Nothobranchius furzeri: one gene and its partners. The protein of the gene in region 1 interacts with the protein of each later gene in a pairwise test. Links are inferred from orthologs where the notes say so. Each region holds a gene or a part of one and is shown in the gene's direction. Other genes may lie near its edges. The genes, in order: coil, snrpf and polr2l.

What was found.
Region 2: the proteins of coil (region 1) and snrpf interact in binary tests that used the Homo sapiens proteins (3 or more experiments, as listed by UniProt). The two-hybrid records come from large-scale screens. The link is inferred for Nothobranchius furzeri from reciprocal best matches to the Homo sapiens genes COIL and SNRPF.
Region 3: the proteins of coil (region 1) and polr2l interact in binary tests that used the Homo sapiens proteins (3 or more experiments, as listed by UniProt). The two-hybrid records come from large-scale screens. The link is inferred for Nothobranchius furzeri from reciprocal best matches to the Homo sapiens genes COIL and POLR2L.

Annotation. Positions count from the first base shown.
Region 1 is NC_091758.1:11,395,027-11,401,683, reverse strand, and holds the end of coil (coilin), read left to right. Parts: intron 1-4,456; coding exon 4,457-4,545; intron 4,546-4,916; coding exon 4,917-4,964; 3' UTR 4,965-5,134; downstream 5,135-6,657. UniProt on the Homo sapiens protein: Component of nuclear coiled bodies, also known as Cajal bodies or CBs, which are involved in the modification and assembly of nucleoplasmic snRNPs.
Region 2 is NC_091741.1:34,922,025-34,928,629, reverse strand, and holds the start of snrpf (small nuclear ribonucleoprotein F), read left to right. Parts: upstream 1-2,698; 5' UTR 2,699-2,835; coding exon 2,836-2,838; intron 2,839-3,961; coding exon 3,962-4,087; intron 4,088-6,411; coding exon 6,412-6,476; intron 6,477-6,605. UniProt on the Homo sapiens protein: Plays a role in pre-mRNA splicing as a core component of the spliceosomal U1, U2, U4 and U5 small nuclear ribonucleoproteins (snRNPs), the building blocks of the spliceosome.
Region 3 is NC_091749.1:62,789,298-62,795,292, forward strand, and holds polr2l (DNA-directed RNA polymerases I, II, and III subunit RPABC5), read left to right. Parts: upstream 1-2,952; 5' UTR 2,953-3,091; intron 3,092-3,473; 5' UTR 3,474-3,483; coding exon 3,484-3,578; intron 3,579-3,847; coding exon 3,848-3,956; 3' UTR 3,957-4,089; downstream 4,090-5,995. Other genes in the region: cleavage and polyadenylation specificity factor subunit 7, read right to left, coding at 4,826-5,060, 5,145-5,289. UniProt on the Homo sapiens protein: DNA-dependent RNA polymerase catalyzes the transcription of DNA into RNA using the four ribonucleoside triphosphates as substrates.

The DNA of each region.
Region 1 (6,657 bases):
ACCTAGGCTGCCCTGGTACCAAGTGTACCGATGGGCATCCTTATGTTCGAACATGGAACATGGTGTTTGTTATGGCCAAACTGCGGCTTGCACAGAAGTCCAATAACGAACCATCACTCGGGTTCAGATCAGGCGGGCCATTCCACCCAATCACACCCCTCCAGGTCATGCTGTCATTGCCCATGTGACCATTGAAGTCCCTCAGCAGGACAATGGAGTCCCCTAATGGAGCACTATCTAGCACTTGTCCCAGGGACTCCAAAAAAGGGTGGGTACTCTGAACTGATTGACCCATAAGCAAAAACAACAGTCAGGACCCGTTCCCCGACCCGAAGGCGCAGGGAAGCTACCCTCTCGTCCCCCAGGGTAAACCCCAACACACAGGCAGAGAGTCTTGGGGCCAACAAAAAGCCATCTCCAGCCCTCCGCCTCTCACCTGGAGCAACTCCAGCAAAGGAGAGTGTCCAACCCCTCTCAAGGACTTGGGTTCCAAAGCCAATGCTATGCATCGAGGTGAGTCCGACTATATCTACCCTGTACCACTCAACCTGTGTCACAAGCTCCTGCTCCTTCCCCGCCAGAGAGGTGACGTTCCATGTCCCAAAAACCAGTTTCCTTGTCTGGGGATCGGACCGCCAAGGCTCCCGCCTTGGTCTGCCACCCAATCCTTACTGCACCGGACCCTTCATGTTCCTCCTGCGGGTGGTGGGTCCACAGTTGGATGAGCCCATGTATCTGGTTTGGGCTGGGCCCCATGGGCGAAAGCCCGGCCACCAGGCGCTCGCTCACGGGCGTCCAACCCCAGATCTGGCTCCAGGGTGGGACCCCGGTAACCCTCCGGGCCGGGTACTCCGACTCTTGATTTTAAATCCATGAAAGATCCTCTGAACAATTGAGATGTCATTTATCTTGAATATGAGTTATTTTTGTCAGCCTGAATTTATACCCAGAAATAAAACGCTCAGTTTCAGTGAAACTCCGCTCTGGAAAACCGTGCCTACAGCGGCATCTCACGCAAGTTTGTTACTGTAGATGCTTTGGTGGTCCAGTGGTAAAGACCATCTCAGGTTGCCACGAGCTGAGGTGGGTTCAAATCCTGGTGTGGGCAATACATAATTTAGCCACCTGGAGCAGATTTCATGCTGTTATATTTGAGTTTTATGGATTATTTTCAGCAACATTTTTTGCGTCTCTAAACATTTTCTCTCTTTGTATTTGGTCGTTTCCAAGCAGCATCTTAGTTGATTTACTCGCCTCACCTCACATAGACTCACACTGGCTAAATAAACAAAGAAAGTAAATAAAACATTGTAGTCCTATTATTTTAAACAGTTTACCAATATAAGGTTGGAAACATCAAACAGACAAGTGCTGTTAAAAAGAAAAAAGTTACTTCTCACATGTGAACCTACTAGGGATGTGAATCTCAGTGCAACTCACGATTTGAGGTGCCGATTCGATTCAGAATCGATTCTCGATTTAAATCGATTCACAATCAATATTATTACAGAGTGTCAGTTCCAGGATTAACTGCTTGTTGTACAAGTTAGTTAAATCTATGGGACATTTTTCTTTGACTTTAAACTGTTCATGCTAAAAATAAAGCTAATTTATGAGGTAAAATAAAATTATTCTAAGACTGTAAACAGAAACAATCTTTTGACCAAAAGGCAACATTTATTTTTGCGTACCTTGTAAAATATAACAAATCTCTAGTTACCTAACAGTAGCTTTGAAAGGAATACGGTCAGATGCTTTTTAAGTATGTGTGGAAACAAGTTTAACGCTTGAGTCCTCAACCTGTTTAACAAAAGTGCCTCAGATTTCTTACAAAGGAAAATGTGTTCTCTCATTTCTCAATAACTTCAAATAAATACATGAGTAATCCTGAGTACTCACTTATCAACTTAGAAAATAAATATGAGAATATCTCAATGAGTATGGAAAAAATTACATTCAAGTGCCCTCTTATCAGCAGATTCAAACATAAATCATCCCAATTTATGGGACCACAAAAGTAAATGGAGTACTGACTATCCTTACAAAGATAAAAAAAAAAAAACAGACAAAAGTGCATCTCAAACCTGTAACATGCCAAATATTTGAGTTCTTGGAATCGATTCTGAATCTCTATAAATAAACAATCCCGATTCAGACTTGAATTGATTTTTTTCAGCACCTCTAGAACCTGCCCAACAACCTAACCACTAGACTACCAAGTCTGTTACATGACACTAGTCGCCACATATCCAGGGGAGACGGGTTTCAGACCAGAGACTAGCTTCCAGGGGACGAGCAGGGCCTGATGTTGGGAGATGAAGTGACATATAACTTATACATTAGGCTGTTTCAGGAATTTCAAAATAAAGTTTAAAATTTGCAGCTGAAACAGCAAAATGCCTGGATGCAGCCTAAAAATGGTTCTGGGGAGTTTTCTCATGAGGAAACAACAATTACGTCCTAAAAAGCTACCAAAAGGGATTTTTCATGTAATGGTCCCTTCAAAACCCTCTGATCCTGGTCTGACTGGAGTCCTGACTTTGCTGCTATGGCTGCTGATTTGGTGCCTCGGGATGACGCCCCTGTGGCTTTGAGGGAAGCGACCACCAAATAAAGTCACACAAAGTTTTTGTTGTCAAATCGAGCACCAAAGACTAGTGTACATTTTATTAAAGGCATTCATTTTTAATCTGTTTTTATTTCTAGGTATGGACATGTTTTTATTCTAGGTGCTTTTAATGTCCATGTTTGTTGTGACTTAGCTTCAGGAGGCGACTGTCGCTCTTCATTCATCAGCCACATGCTTCCGCTTAAAATAAAAGAAGGTGATGCGGCGTTGAGCCCCTTGGGCTTCTGTGAAGGTTACAGAAGATGTGTTTTGGGTTTGCAGTGCCATCTATCCACAGTAGACATTGAGTATAGGAGAATCTGAATCCTTAATAAACGAGAGGGTGCTCGCTGCAGAACCACAAAGGCGGAGCTGCACCATAAGGTGGAGCTGCACCAGGGTCAGCCCCGCCCATTCACGCAAACTCAGCCTAGCCCACTGACTTCCGTTTTTGTTTTCCAACTTCATCGCAAACTAACCTGACCCACATGAATTATGGCTGTTACTACTTTACAAATGTTAATGCTCCAATTAAACAAGATAAATATAACTTGCTACATGACAAAGCCTGAATACATCTTGAAATGAAACGATTTCTTTTAGCAGATATCTGCCCACAGCCGCTCTAACAATAATGTGGGGCAACAGCATGAGTGACTGTCATATGTGCTCTGGTAGTCCAGTGGTAAGATCATCTGAAGCAAATTTTGCTTCCCCCTCAGCTGATGCTGGTTCGATTCTCGGTGAGGTCGGCATCAATCTATTTAGCCAGCTGAAACATTTAATTTGTTTATATTTTAGTTGTAATGTTTATTTTCAGCAAAATATTTATGTCTCTAAAAGTTCTTTGAATTTGGTCGTTCCTAAACAGCATTTTAGTTGAAACTCTGCTCACAAATGGACTCACACTGGCTAAATAAACGAATAAATAAATAAACACATTAGTCATTGTATTGTAAACGGTATACCAGTAAATTGTTGTAAACATAGCACTGGCAAGTGTAGCTAGAAATTAAGAAAAGGGGTTGTAATCTACCTAAGATTTCTGCCACTGGGAGTCGAACCTGCGCAAAACTATATGCCAACCTGCCTCCATAGCCCCTACCCCACCACATCTGATATGAAGTAAGTGGTGTTACATGTAATTGTCCTATCCAGTCTGTCTTTGGAGATGGGTTGTATGGTTTTTCGGCGGTGTCTCAGTAGAAGTCATTTCAGAAATAATTTGTCAGAAAATTCACAGAATATCCAGATTTGAGAACCAAGACCAGGCCCACTTCAGGGGAGGAGACCAAATTGAAGCTGAGATGGGAGGAAAATGCATGAATGAGGCCAAAAATGGCTTTGGCGTGTTTCTTATGAGGAAATGACAATATAACATGATAAAAAAGTTCCAAAAGTTAGATTTTTAATTATATAGAACCTTTACAAAAACTGTTCAGTTAACTTCTCACCTCCGTCCTCAATCTTGTATTTTTTAGCTATAACACCCTCTTTGGTTCCAGAATGCTATCAAGTCTGACAACTGGAAGGAATTGTACTGACTCTGATGGAATGGACGGGGCTGACTCTGGAATGGGTGGGGCTGACCCTGGTGCAGCTCCACCTTCTGGTGCAGCTCCACCTTCTGGTGCAGCTCCACCTTTGCGGTTCTGCAGCGAGCACCACTTGTAATAAACTGCTACTACTAAAAACTCTTATTTTACATGGTTAAAATTAACCCTAATCCAGCTACATGTAATTTTATTCTATAGTTTGTTGATTTTATTTTCCTGTTGATTGAGTATTTTACCCAGACTTTCTGCTTTTGTGCTTATGTATTGATTTAATTTACTCTTGATTCTCCAGCTCCTCTAGAACCTGGCAAGTTTGACCTTGTCTATCAGAATCCAGATGGTTCAGAAAGAGTGGAGTATGCTGTACCCAGGGGATCTTGGGTAAGTGTGTGTGTGTGTGTGTGTGTGTGTGTGTGTGTGTGTGTGTGTGTGTGTGTGTGTGTGTGTGTGTGTGTGTGTGTGTGTGTGTGTGTGTGTGTGTGTGTGACCAAGTTCTTTTAGATAAACTACATGTTTCAGCTTGACCTGAAAAAAAGTATTTTCATAGATTAAGATCCCTTCTTTAACTTTAGACAATGGTTTAGCCCCTTTTTATAAACGTTTACTTTATTAAAACAGTAATGATTTAAATTAATATGTAGAAGGAAAAACTAGCTGCCAACAAAAACTTTCAAGTTGTTTAGATTCAGTTAGATCTGTCATTTTCTGTGTACTTAAAACTCATCCTGTTTACCTTTGTTTACCTCTGGCAGATCACAGAACGATGGGAGTCTCTGTTGGAACCAAGACTGATCATTTAAATCGGGGAGGAAAACATACATAAAATGTGCAGTCTGCTCGAAACATGGAGTAGCTACCTGCAGCATATTAAAGTAGCTGAGACCTTCTAATTTTAGACAAGGACTTATTGTTTTTTTTTTAAAAGGGATCTGAGTGAGATCAATTCCAAATAAACGTGTTTCCAATAAAACATTGCATATTTTTCTTTTATCATGAGAAAATCTTTTTGTTATTGTCACATGTAAACTTTTGAACTTAAAACTTTGTTTCTCTCTTCACAGAGTGTTAAACATCGCTAAAAGATGCACTATGAACTCTGGGTTATGGAAAAAGGCCCTCTCTTATGTTTATAGGTACAATTTGTAAGAATGAAGTGAGAATGACATCCTGTGGTCAGATTGGGTGCGTTCTTAGTGCCGTTCTGTGAGTTTCATAGCTGTTGCCAGTTACGGATCAGCGCCAGATGATTCTAGATGACAAGGAAAGACTACACAGTAAAGTTGATAGGTAGATACCTAGATTGCGCCTCTAGAGTGGGATCTCTTTTTTGTGGGGTTCCCCAGGGGTCCGTTTTAGGTCCGCTTCTTTTCAATCTATATATTTTACCTTTGGCAGCCATTTTTAGAAAATTCCGGGTAAATTTTCATCTCTACGCTGACGATTGTCAGCTTTATGTGGCCCTAAAATCTGCTGACCCTGTGCAACCACTGACTGACTGCCTGAGTGAAGTCAGGTCCTTGCTCTCGGCTAATTTTCTCCATCTTAATAGCTCCAAACTGGAGGCTATTTTCTTTGCCCCCTGCTCCCCCTCGGCTGTGGAGCCATCTCTGCACCCTTCATTGTCAGTTTTGGTGAAGCCGACAATTACAAGTTTGGGGGTCACTCTGGACGCTTTTAAAAAAATGGATGCACAGATAAATCAGGTAGTCAGGTCGTGTTTCTTTCATTTTCGCCGGCTGGCCAAACTAAAATCTGTCCTGAACAAAAAAGATCTTCAGTCAGTTGTTCATGCTTTTGTAGAGCCACGTATGGACTATGCCAATTCTCTTTTATATGGTATGCCCTCCTCTTCAGTGGTACGCCTCCAACTGGTACAGAATGCTGCCGCAAGGTTTCTTACGAGCATAGACCGACGGCAGCATATCACCCCTGTTTTAGCAAATTTACACTGGTTTCCAGTTCACTTTCGGATTAAGTTCAAAATTCTCCTGTTGGTTTACAAATCTATTCATGAAATGGCACCCTTGTATGTATACCACTGAGTCCACTGATCTCAGGCTCAGGGGGAGAGAGTTCCAGAGTCTGGGGGCCACAACAGCAAATGATCTGTCACCTTTGGTCAGTGGGTAGGCCAGACCCCGAGGGTCAGAGACAGACGAAAGCAGCCCCGGCGGGGTGGGTTGGATCCCGAGGGTCAGAGAAGGACGAAAGCGCAGCCCCAGCGGGGTTGGTCAAATCCCACAAAAGAGCTAAACAAGCATCACTCTTTTCTAACCCACTGAAGCCACGCACGCAGAAGAGAAACAGTTCTCAGTTGTGTCTCCTTCATATGAACTCGAACATCTGTTCTTTTGGCTCATTCTGACAGTTTGTTAGATTGTACATCTCAAACACAGTCGCAGTATCCCCAAAAATCTTGGAAGAGCAGCACATTGGCATTAACTTAATTATCAGTTCATCATGAGGCTGCTCTGTAAACCCACGTAATATCCA
Region 2 (6,605 bases), on another chromosome or scaffold:
TTTGGGACAAACTGCTCATAATTGATTAATTGTCTGACAAAGTGACGCTGCGTGAGCTGCTGACGCATGTCGAGGTCCGCCCATTGGCCGCTCCGCTGCGCCCTTTGTTGACACCATTGTTGGTGTCCATAAAACCAGTGAAACAACCCAGTGATTCTGGTCCAGCTTCCTCATGAGCACTCAGCGACGAGTGAAAGAACCAAGAGTCAGGAGTGAGGTTTGGTCATGTTATCTACTCTGACTGTAGCTTCCATAGATTAAGTGTAATCTGTGATCAGGTTTTAGTGTGCCCCCTGGTGCCGAGTGTGACAAAAGGTCAGAAAACTCCTCTCATCTAATTGAGTACAGCTCCTCTGAACGCCGCAAGGTTCTTTCTCCTCTCTAATCGGACCCTGACCTGCTTTCTGGGCTTCTGACCCGTGTCCAATAAGCAGCGAGCCAAGCTAAACTTTCTCACCTGTTAACTCGGTTCTGTTTGTCCTCCATCAGTCAGCGGTTCTGCTCTGAACCAAGGAGACATCTTTGTTCAATCTCAGCTCTCCTGAACCATGTTTCCAACCTTTCCACTACCTGAGCACACACATCTGTGTGTGTGTGTCCGAGGGGGGGGGTATACACACAGCTAATCTGCCTGCACCAGAAGTGCAGCTGAGGCTGATGGGAATCTCGCAGGTCATACACAGAAGTAATCAGCGGACAGCTAAAAGTGCATTTGCACACAGTCTGCTGAGTTTGTCAGCTCCGCGCTCCATATCTGATCCACTCCACGGGCGTCCCTCCATTTGCTCCCCTCTGCAGACTTCAAAGGGCTGTCCAGTTTCAGACTGGATCCGGCAGCAGACTGGAAAATTCCCACTCGCCTCCTGAACAAAGCTGATCTCCTCCGAATGATGTTGTCAACGAATGGAAAGCAGCAGAAGAAGCTGGACAAGCTACGATAATTATTATTTAAATCACTTGAAATGTGAAATGATTTATATAAAAATTAGATTTGATGCTCTGAGCCAGTGGTCACCTTTCCCCGAGAGGCGGGAACCGGCATGTTTTTGTTGTTTCCCTATTTCAACACGCTTGACCGGTTCGGAGGCTCATCGGGCTCTGCAGAAGTCGGTTGATCACCTGCCGATTGAAATCAGGTGTGCTGAAGCAGAGAAAACAGTAAAACATGCTGGATACCGGCCCTCGGGGAGGGGAGTTGGTGATCGCTGCTCTAAACACACAACAGCTGCAGGCAGATGAGAACACACCTCACCCCTCAAACGTGAAAACATTAAAGCTTCATTTTAGTCGCAGCTCTTTTTCTGGTGATTTTTCTCTTTTTCAGCTTCTTCGGTCGATGTTTCCTAAAGCCGTTCGACTTGTAGAGGCAACGTTGTTGTTGTGATTGTTGTCATTCTGGTAACTTTGATCGCTTTTATGTAATTTTGTGTCTCTTTGTGGTCGTTTTGCTGATTTTATTGGTCTTTTAGAATAAATTGTAGTTTTCTTTTCATTGTTTGTTACTAATTTAAATGATTTTTATTTCATAACTTCTAATCTTTGTGACCATTTGGTGAAAATGTCATCTTTTTTATTTTATAGCCTCGTAAGACTAATTTTGCTATTTTAAAATCATATTTAATTAATAAATAATTTCCCTTTTGTTTTTGGTTGCTTTGCACGAGTTACTTTCTTGTGACTACAGTTTTTGCAACACTGCAAATTTATTTGTGTCTCTTCATCATTTTGCAGCTCTAAATACGTTTTTAAACACATGAAAAATATATTATGCTTTCTTTATCGGTTCAGTCGGTCTGTCTGTCTGTAACAGATTTTATTACGCCTCATGCCAACAGTAGTTCTCATACAACTCATGCACCCTCTGACTGGCCACTTCTCTAAACCTCGCGTACCGTCTCCATCCCATAACTGAGACCAGACTGTCTGATGGACGGGTTAATTACACGTTGGAAAGGTGAGGTCGGGAAAATACTCAGTGATGTAAAGAAACAAGTATTTCAAACATGCAGAGAGAGATCCAGAGCAATTTCATAGGAATTTTTCTGACAAAACCCAGCCATTTGCTGAATGAAGTCAGATTTCGGTTTTATTCACCATGGCAGGTTTGAACTTGCCTGACTTTTTGGTAACAGACAAACGCTTCAGAGCAGAAAACATTTTTTAAACATCGGGCTTCTTGTGCCTGGAGAAAAACAAAGCTGCAGAGAGCAAGCATGACCCAGTTATGACAGTCGTGCCAGGTTTAGCTCCTAAACCGATATGTTTTCAATCAGTCACTGATCCTGCATGACATAAATAGAGCAGGAGTTCAACTCAAGGCAGATGACATGATCTTGTTGCTGAGAATGAAAACGAGTTTGAAGAAAATTATTACTAGTTTTTCCTGGACTTAATAACTGATTTTTTTTGCCATTTTCTTTTGTGAATGTAGAGGAGATACAACTTTTTGGACTGGACTTTATTTCTGTATCGTGCCACGAACATATAGCAGATACTCTATAAACAACTGACATATCAACCCCAGAGATCGTGCATACATATTGTAGGTGTTTAATTCACGTTTCGTTTATCAGCTCACAGTTTACTGTTCAATGGGTGACTGTAAATGAGAGGAAGAGGGGAAACTTTTGGAGCTTTACACTAAATCACTTGGGTAGCAGTTCGCTCATCCGGCCACTGGGAGGCGCTGTTTAAAGCACGGAGACTCGTGCCCAGGTCGGAAAGTTGTACTTCCGGTCGGCGGTAAAGCGTGCTTCGTGGTTTGCAAACGTTATCGAGACGAACATATTTTACTTTTTTGATTTAGCTTATTAAAGCTGTTTAATTTGATATAAAATGGTGAGTAAGACGTTGTATATCTTTATCGTCTTGCGAATGAACTATCAGGATTTAATTCAGTGTATTTTTGTTGTTTAGCGTTAGCCATGTTAGCTTTTCATTCATAACTTCGACCTAGACCTTTCACACCCTCAAACACATATTAACACAAAACTGGTGTTATAAATCTTCGGTTTCTTATTCCCTTTGGGTTGTAAGCCGTCTACTCGTTCATCACTGTTAATAAACAAGAGAAAAGACCGCAGAGGCTACATCAACCGCTAGCATCCCCTCGCTTCCTGGCAAAATAAAGTCCAAACTATTTCGCTAAGATCGTTTATCAAAAGCTTCCATAAGGAAATGAATATATATTAATAATATGTCTCTCGACCTTTAGCTATTTAATCTTTATAATGTGAGCTAACTCCTCAGGCCTTTAAGTCCACGGTGTCCTGTAGCTAGCCTTAAGAGAGATGATCGGTTTAAAACAAGCGACTCAGAATGAGCTAAGAGCATCTTTGGTGTGTGCTTGCTGTGTTGAAATTCTAATTCCATCTTTTAGTTATTTTTAAAACACAGAAAGGTTTTATTTGCCTGCAACGTTTCGTTTGCGGCTGCAAACTTCGTCAGGCTGACGCTGCAGGTAAATAAAACAGCAGTAAAGCATTTAAACCTTTTTATTAAACCACCTGACCCGGATTAACCTTTGTGTTATGGGAGAACATATTAAAATTTAATAGTGATTGAACAAAATAATGCAATTTAAAGAAAAATAACACTATTAGGATTTAACAGCTTGTTTTATTACACAGATCAGTTGCGCTGATTCATTAAACGTTTTTTATGAATAAAATTAGATTGGTTAAACAGCTGTTTGGCCATTAAGTAATTCATTAGTAAAGTCAATAAAAATGATTTACTTTGCAGTAGATTTAAAGTTTGGATTCTACGCAAAAACGTTTAATTGAATCCGGATTTCCTTCATGTTGGAGTGAGGAGTATCTGTGTTGTAGGACGGACGGCTGGGGGTACGCTGCTGTTCAGCAGCGTTACAAATTCATGAAATGTAGTCGTTAAATGCATTTAATTTTCTTCAGTAGTGTGGGATGTAATGGCTTTGCTGACCTCTGTTCTTCTTCTACAGAGTTTACCTCTGAACCCGAAGCCTTTCCTGAACGGCCTGACGGGAAAACCTGTGATGGTGAAGCTGAAGTGGGGTATGGAGTATAAAGGCTACTTGGTGTCTGTGGATGGATACATGAACATGCAGGTGGGTGCCGTTTCTCCTCCTAACAACCAAACCACAGAATCTTCTCACATGGAAAAATAAACCATTTAATTATTTGTATACCTGCTCAGGATTTGCTACTGCTTGATGATTTTATTGTGTGGTTTTATCTGTGTCAGACTTCTTTATTATCATAAATTTGGTTAAGCCAAATCAAAATAAATGATAAAATTAAATTTGTACCCCAGGAAAATTCAGCTCTTTAGACCCATCATCCTGCTTGTTTTCTATGTTTCTTTGCTTCAACACACCTGATTTGAGTCATTAGGCGAATAATGAGCTGCTTCAGAAGAATTAAGCTATTGAATCAGGTGTGTTGGAGCAGGTAAGGAACTAAAACATGCAGAACCAGGGCTCACTGATGTTCTTTAATCAGTTCAACTTCAGATCATAGTCAGACTGCTGAAAGGTGTTTATCTTCGTGTCCAGCAGGGGGCGTTGTTTGATCAGTTTGAGGGAATTTTTGCTAAAGAGACTGAAGTGAATAAAGTCATGGCTCCAAAATGTCTAAGGAAACTTCATGTAATTATAATTTTACTTATTAATATTAACAAAGCAGCCTATTTATCCTTCAGCAGCAGTAAAATACAAATGTTCCCAAAGCAGGGTGTGTTTTCAAATGTTTGCATGTATATTTGGGAACAATATCTAGGATATGCACCCAGTTGTCAGCGAAATGCAAATCAGTTCAACAGCAGTTGATGAAGTTCTAACAGCTTTTTAAAAGTCTAATCCATAAACCTCCACTGGAAAGAATATAGATGCAGGAATTAGGCCTGCAGCTATCGAATATTTTTGTAATCGAGTACTCTATCAAATCTTTTATCGATTAATCGAGTACTCTATCAAATCTTTTATCGATTAATCGAGTACTCTAATAAATGACCCTTTTGTGTTTGTAAACCATTATATCAAATAGCATGTTATAAAATATGAAAGACCTCTTAAAATGAGTACGCTATTGCCAGTTATTCTTCAAGTTTTATTCAAAATCAGTTTGCAAAACTTCAGCACTTCAACTTTACTTCACAGTAAACAAATGCCTGTGCAAAAAATAAGTAAACAACCTGAGCTAATTTCCCCCGGTGTGAGAATCTACGAGCCTGCAAGCCAGACAAAAACTAGGATAACTGTTGAAGTAGCGCTGCGAGTGGCTGCGGCCCAAACAGAACCAGAACCGCTCACGGCGCATGCGCAATCATGGCTCGCCAGCTGTTTCCCTATTAACACACGTCCGTTTTAATTTCTACACTTTATTTTCTCACACAATAACAAGGATTGTCGAGAAAGCATGTTTGCCGTGGTTTTGTCGAATTATACTGATCACAAAACATTTATTTACTTTCGTTTTCCTCTCATAAATACCCGCGTCCTCCTGCAGCAACCCCGAGGGACAACAGACGTCAATAACAACACAGTAAAAAGTCTGACGTGTTGTAAAAACAGCTATTTTTAGCACATTTTAAGACCGAAGTGTTGCTACCAGACGTACGGTGTGAGCTGAAACTGAGTGCTACAAATGAAAAAGTCGCACAGCATCTGCAGAATATACAGAAATACAGGCTAACATGCATTATCTTGTAGAGGCTCCGAGTCCGCTTGCAGAAGTGACATTTACAGGTGGATGTTTCCTGGTCAGGTTGCAGCATGGAGGATGTGGTGGTGTGGTAGGCTACATCCGTTTTACAGTATTTACACTGGAGTACGTTTTCTGCCTTACGAAGTGAAAAATGGTCCCACATCTTTGACATTTCCTGTCTTTTTCGCTCCACCGGGTCCACGTTGTCCGCCATGGCTTAAGAGAAAGTTAAGTTGCGTTCGCTACTCGCGTGTGCATTCAGTGCAGTGTGTATGTGCGTCACTTATTTCGGTCCGGGTGAAACATGACCCCGGGCGATTGCAAAGCCATGAATTAATTAAACATGAATTAAACGAAGCCTCGAGGCTTTTTTGTACTCGAATTATTTGAGATGCTCGAGGAACCGTTTCAGTTCTAGCAGGAATACCTTCTTTTCCACTCAGAATTAGACTAAATCAGTATAATAATTTAGTCCAAATAAAAAAGTCTTTCTCACATCTTAAATCTATCATTTAATGTTGTTAAAGATGAACTTTAACAGGCAGTGCAAACACTTAAAGGTGCTTTTAAATCCTGGAAAAGGCTTTCATTTGAACCTGGGATGTTCTTGTGGATGAGGTATGAGTCAAACCCTGATATTTACACAGAATTTCCTTTTGAAAATGGGACAAAAACAACTGATTTATGGTCATGTGACTCTGTAATACATCTATCATGTCCCCAACAGCTGGCAAATACAGAGGAGTATGTGGACGGAGCGTTGGCGGGCCATCTCGGCGAAGTGCTCGTCAGGTATTTCATCTCTAAAATCCTCATTTTTGTCTTTGTTTACATTCATTTCTGCTGCAGAACCAGTTGGTTTCTGTGGATCTGATGATCAGACTAACAGATTTATCTCCATAAAGCAAAAATCAGCGGAGA
Region 3 (5,995 bases), on another chromosome or scaffold:
GCCCCTGAGCCTGAGAACCCCCCCTCCTCCAACGATGGAGGAACAGCAGCTGAATCAGCAGCAGCAGCAGGAAGTGAGGACGCTGCGGCCTCTGGCACAGACTCTCTGGAGCACCTGAAGCCTTTTCTCATCGGTGGCGCTGTTATTGCTGCAGGAGCCATCTTGCTGGGAGCGTTGCTCCTGGCGAGGAGAAATTAAAACCAAATTAGAAGAACGGCTGACTATATGGTTTGGATAAGAGATTGGAAAGACAATATTTTATTTATTTATTGTTTGTTTTTGACCTGATCTCACGTGTAGAGAATCACCCCATTTAAGTTTTTACCAAGGCTGTATATGGAGAATAATTACACTAATAATACATGCATGAAGTCTCAACAGCACAGCATAATGTAAAATTAATTAAAAATATTATAAAAAGACTTATTCCTCAGCTTGATGCCTAAACCTTTTAAACACAACTGTCTGCTTTATTTAGTTTAATCCAGCGTGAGCAAATATTGACCTGAGGTTGCAATATTTGTGCATTCCGACACAGTGAATGAGCTTGGTTAATTTTGTGTAAATATTTCAAAATTATATATCCACTGTGTTCATGATGTTTTTGAGCAATCACAGTTCTCTTACTTTAAAATAGAATATTTGAAAGAGTTGGTGAACGAACAGTCACGTTTATGCATAGCAAAGGATTATGGATCTTTTGTTAAAAGAAACACCTGCACAGGTGGAATTAGATATATTGAGAATAAGTATGAGCATGGGTACAGGCAACAGCTGACCTTCACAGGGCTAATACTGGCCCAGTAATCAACAAGGCCACTACTAATAATGTGGACTAGAGCCTATTTGTGGCAAGAATTTGCAGATTTCCTCAACTTTCCATCATTTTCCAAGTGTGTCAAACTGACATTTGTCATTCTGGAAAGAAAAACCTTTTTATTCAGTTCTGTCACTCAGGAATAAATCAGTGTTCCTGGGTTGATTCTGTGGTGTCACTCGTTACATCTACATTGTACGTTGGTGGCAAAAAAATATGGTAAACCTTTGTATTGAGCAGGGGTCTGCAATCTACAGCTCTGGAGCCAAGTACGGCTCTTTGGAGCTTCCACAATTGCTCTTAATAATGTATTCTAAAAATGGTAAAATACTAATTTAAAAAAATATATATTAATATAATAATGCAGATTCAAGCTACTGTTCTGTATTTTCACAGAATCAATTGCATTCAATTTCCTCAACAGAATTACACTATTTTTATAACTTTCCTGATATACAGAATGATATTCATACAGTTTTTGCAAAAGTTTTATTTCATTTTTCCTAATTTAAAAACTTAATCAAATCCCATAGAGAAGATACTGATAGAAGATAAAACAAGAGTTGTGACTATAATCTAAAAACAAAAAAGTCAGAATCATGATTTCAACCTCAGAATTCTGATTAATTTTTAGACATTTCTCAAAAATTCATTGTCTGTTTTCTGAAAGCCCTGTAACAGTGTGGGAAACAGCTCTTTGGATAGTAAAGGTTGCAGACCTCTGGTGAAGAGTAACAAAGACAAACTCATTGGGTTTAAAATAAACCAAAACATTATTAAACACTGAAATATGACACGTTCTGGGACAAAAGAAGAAGTTGGTTTGCGTGTTTATTCTAACCTCTATATGGGTTTGAAAGCCCACAGCCAGTCAGCCACTAGAATTGAGTCAATTTTTATGCCACTCTGTGTGTTTTCAAAGTCACCCACCAAAAATATGTAATGAAAGCATTTATAATAGCATAAAAGTAGTACTCATACTTCACTGAAAGGGGGAAAAGAATTTGTTACTGCACAAACACACCTGTACAGTGGCTCACTAGCCTTTCAGCTTGCAACTGTAAAACTCATCCGGTTGTCTCTGTTTGGTAGAAAGGTAGTTTTGACAACCAGAATGTATAGCTTCACCATATTTTATACCCCCTAAAAAACTCATAAGAGCATATCACCATCACTAGACAGCTCCTCTGACATGTTCAAAAAGTAGTAAGTCAACACAAAAATAAATTTCACCTTACATTGTACAATACAGTGTACTCTTAAAAAACAAAAGAATATGAAAACTCCTATTTTCATAATTTCAACAGCGTATAAATGCAATAATTCAGGTAGGATTCCTCATTTAGCATATGTGCTGTAGCAAATGAAATTACATAGATGATGTATTACTGTATAATGTTACTGATGGTAATGATAATGACATTTATCATGCTGACTGTAAAGATGACTATGGTGGAAATAATATGTATGTTTTATATTTTAAATATTTTCTTTATGCACCCTCCTCTATGAGTCCAATCATTTAAATGTAAAATATGACAAATCTGAAATTCAATCTTATTAAAGGCAGTGAACCAGTCCTATAGTGAGCATTTCTTTTGTGGATTCATGTTAATATTAATTTGTGTAACTATCTGCATTGGATGAAGATTTTATTTTTGCATGGTACCACCTTCAAAAACATTAGTTTTAATCAACTAATTTAGCTCTTTTCCTTAACATTCTGTCAAGATGGTATATTGAATTGCAATTGCATTTATTAGTTATATCAAGGAAAATGTTAGAGTTTTTAAACTCCTTTATCTGTGGTTACATGGATATTAATACTTTTGCTTCAAAGTTGTTTGTTTTGTAAAAGGAAAAATACATTGTGAGGTGAGTGACTTGACATGTTAGCTAAGTTTGATGGGGAGTACTGCCATTTTTATACGCTCGTTTATGAAGTGAGCTGTGGTCATTATTCAGTAGCAATATTGTGATTCTAATGAATTGTTATTTCACTTTTGCACCACATTTATTAAAACCAAATAGACGAAGACGCTCACACGTTTTCCGTGTCAGTTTCCCCATTTTCGTTTTTTTTTTTTTGGGGGGGGGGGGGGGTCAATTTTGCAAATCACAGGAAACGCTCACCTCTTATTCCGCTTTTATTTTGGCGGATTTTACCCGGAAGTTGTTTTAACGACATAAGGAGTGAGAGAACGCCATCATTATCGTGCTGGAGTTACTTTTACCAAGAAAATAGTACATTCATCTGATCTACAGCCTCAAAAGGTGAAACATATGGTAAAACGTGATAAACTAATGACGTGTGTAAGTTCGTTTAGCGGAATAATTTCAACAGCAGCTAACGCTAGCTGGTGGGCTAGTTACGTAGCGGAATACAGCACTAACCATAAGATTTGATTTCAACCGTCTTTTTTAAGTAATTCGTTTTTGGACTATTGATTAATCCATCTGAAAAAAAAAACTAAATACGTGTTTGCTTTAATCGTTGCAGTGCTAGGTTTTGCTGCATTAACGTTAGCAAAACATGCTCACATGGTGGTCTTACTGCGGTGGTATGCGGAAACGTAAATGTAATTTAAGTTAAACGACTCAACTGTGATTGTTTTACATTGTTTTCAAACATTAACCGGGTTGACTTTTGTTGCAGGTATTTAACGATGATAATCCCTGTGAGGTGCTTCACTTGTGGGAAGATTGTGGGGAACAAATGGGAAGCGTACCTCGGTCTGTTGCAAGCGGAATACACAGAGGGGTGAGAAACAACCACGTCTAGCTTCACGTTTCATGATCTTTTTACGTCCGAAATTGTTCTGGCACGTGTTTGAGTAGCTTTTCTACAAAGGTAGAACATTTCAACATTTGGTCACAATGCAGGCAAGCTAAATAACATTTAAAAAGAAGATTGGGTTTAGATTTGTTTTTAAACCACAATGCCTTTCACCTTTCCTTATGGTTTTCAGCAGTGATTAAAACGTGTTTATGTAACATATCAGGACTGATTTTTGCCATCTCCCTCCCTAGTGATGCTCTTGACGCTCTTGGCTTGAAGAGGTACTGCTGTCGAAGGATGCTTCTTTCTCATGTGGATCTTATTGAGAAATTGCTGAATTATGCTCCGTTGGAAAAATGAATGTTGTGGACTTTGTAGCACCATTATCAGGGTGAATGTGTGTACTATGTAACCTTAAATTACGACCACAGAGAAGAATTTATGGAAACATTTTTCAATTACTGGATTTTTTAAAATAAAATGAATAACCTTGCTTTCTTTCGTCCATGCGTCTACATTTTATGTGGTTGGCAACGACTAGCTCTTCAGATCTTAGCTTTGGAAATTAATGGTTTTAATCGCATAGTTCATTTCATGAGATTGGAAAAATTGATGAATGATTAAATGTCTATTTCCTGTCAATGTGACATAATTTTACAGCTTTGTGTAGTTAGTTATAACAAAACACTGGAGGATTTTTTTTTATTTGTAGAATTTATACAAAAAAAAGAATGAAAACAAGTTATTAACAGGTGTTCACTACATGCATGTTGAAATTCTATAATACAAGAATGAATCTACACAACTTTTTCTTAAAACAAATCAGACATGGTGAATATAACTGATAAAAAGTAGGTTTCATACTTTCAAACATCCAATGTCTCAGCTTCAAAGAGTTTTGACATTTATCAACCTTGGTGCAAGAAAATGCTCATCTTTCCCCGGCAGGATTCTTCAGTCTGGGGAGAAAAGGGAACAAAACCAGAACAAAGTCAGAGTAAAAAAAATAAAGGGATGCCAATCTTTCGTGATTTCAGTTAATGCATTCATATTAAATTCAGACGTTAAAGAGCTGTATATTATCCTGATATTGTGTCTGACCTACAGTGAAGATTAGAATACAAATAACTGCTCATTTAAAATGTTTATAAAGGAAGAAATGCTCCCCTGACTCAATGTAATTTTTAGCATATATAACTTTTGTAGTTAAGTCTGTTTATCTTACCAGGTTAGTAGTATCGGTCTTTGTAATCTCGATGTCTTTCTCGCTCTCGTAAGCGCTCTTTGTCCCTGTCTCCACTCCAGGAATGTTCTCTATGTCTTCGAGACGTTCCCGCACCTTCCCTGCTGTAAGAGTCACTTCGGTCACGATCTCGGTATCGCTCTCTGTCACGATCTCTGTCGCGGTCGTGGTCTCTTTCACGACCTCTGTCCCGGTCTCTGTCTTTCTCTCTTGAACGCCTGCTAAAAAGAAAATCTTTAATTAGAAAAAAGCTTAACCCTCTAAGAAAGACAAGCACTCAAACCAAGTTTCCTAAATATACAAACCTGGTTTCACAGTTGCTTTGGATCGAGACTAAACAGTCTTTGAGTGAGGTGACCAAAGCTCGGCAGCGTTCATCCCCGTGCACTTTAGACTGCTTTATGATGGCAATCGCCGTTAATAGTGTCTCCATGGCCATCTGCTGCTCTCCTGCATTAGAAATTCAGGAAATAAGATCGTCTTTTAAAAAGCAGGTTCAGTGGGAAACAAATTTTTTTAACTTATTTTTGAAAATGATCAATGACTGAGTTTAACCATGAAAACAGTCTTCTACCCCTATTTCCTTCATTAGCTTTTGATAGACACTAGACGGAAACACACTCGGTTCAGAAAAGCCTGACAGATCTAGTCACACTGTCACTTAACATTCATGGACTCACCCATCTTGACTCGCGACGGGGAAATCTGTTGTTGGTTTACCGTCCAGGAAACGGCAGTGAACGTCTCGACTAGTAGATGCTAATGATTAGCATTAGCAACTCCACAACAGCAGAACTCCTTCAGACTTGTGTCATTTGTGGAGATAAATCAACGTTGCAAAGCAAATGTAGTCAGTGGTAGAGTCATGTTGCAGTTAGCCAATCCAAGGCAAGATATCCAAATATCAGGAAATAAAACTCTAAATCCTGCCGTCTGAAGCTACGTTCTCCTCCAGCTGGCATCTACGTCCTCAAACAGGCGCACCGGAGCTTCTTGTCCCCCAGAGTACGAACTACAAGGCATTCATTCCTACTAGAAACCACTGCAAATGTATTAAAAAACATGAATAAAGTTGACCCTTAAGAACTTTTTAGAGGTCCATCTTAAAGTACAAATGTACAATTTTTTTTTTTTACCTTCTTATATTTGATTGCAA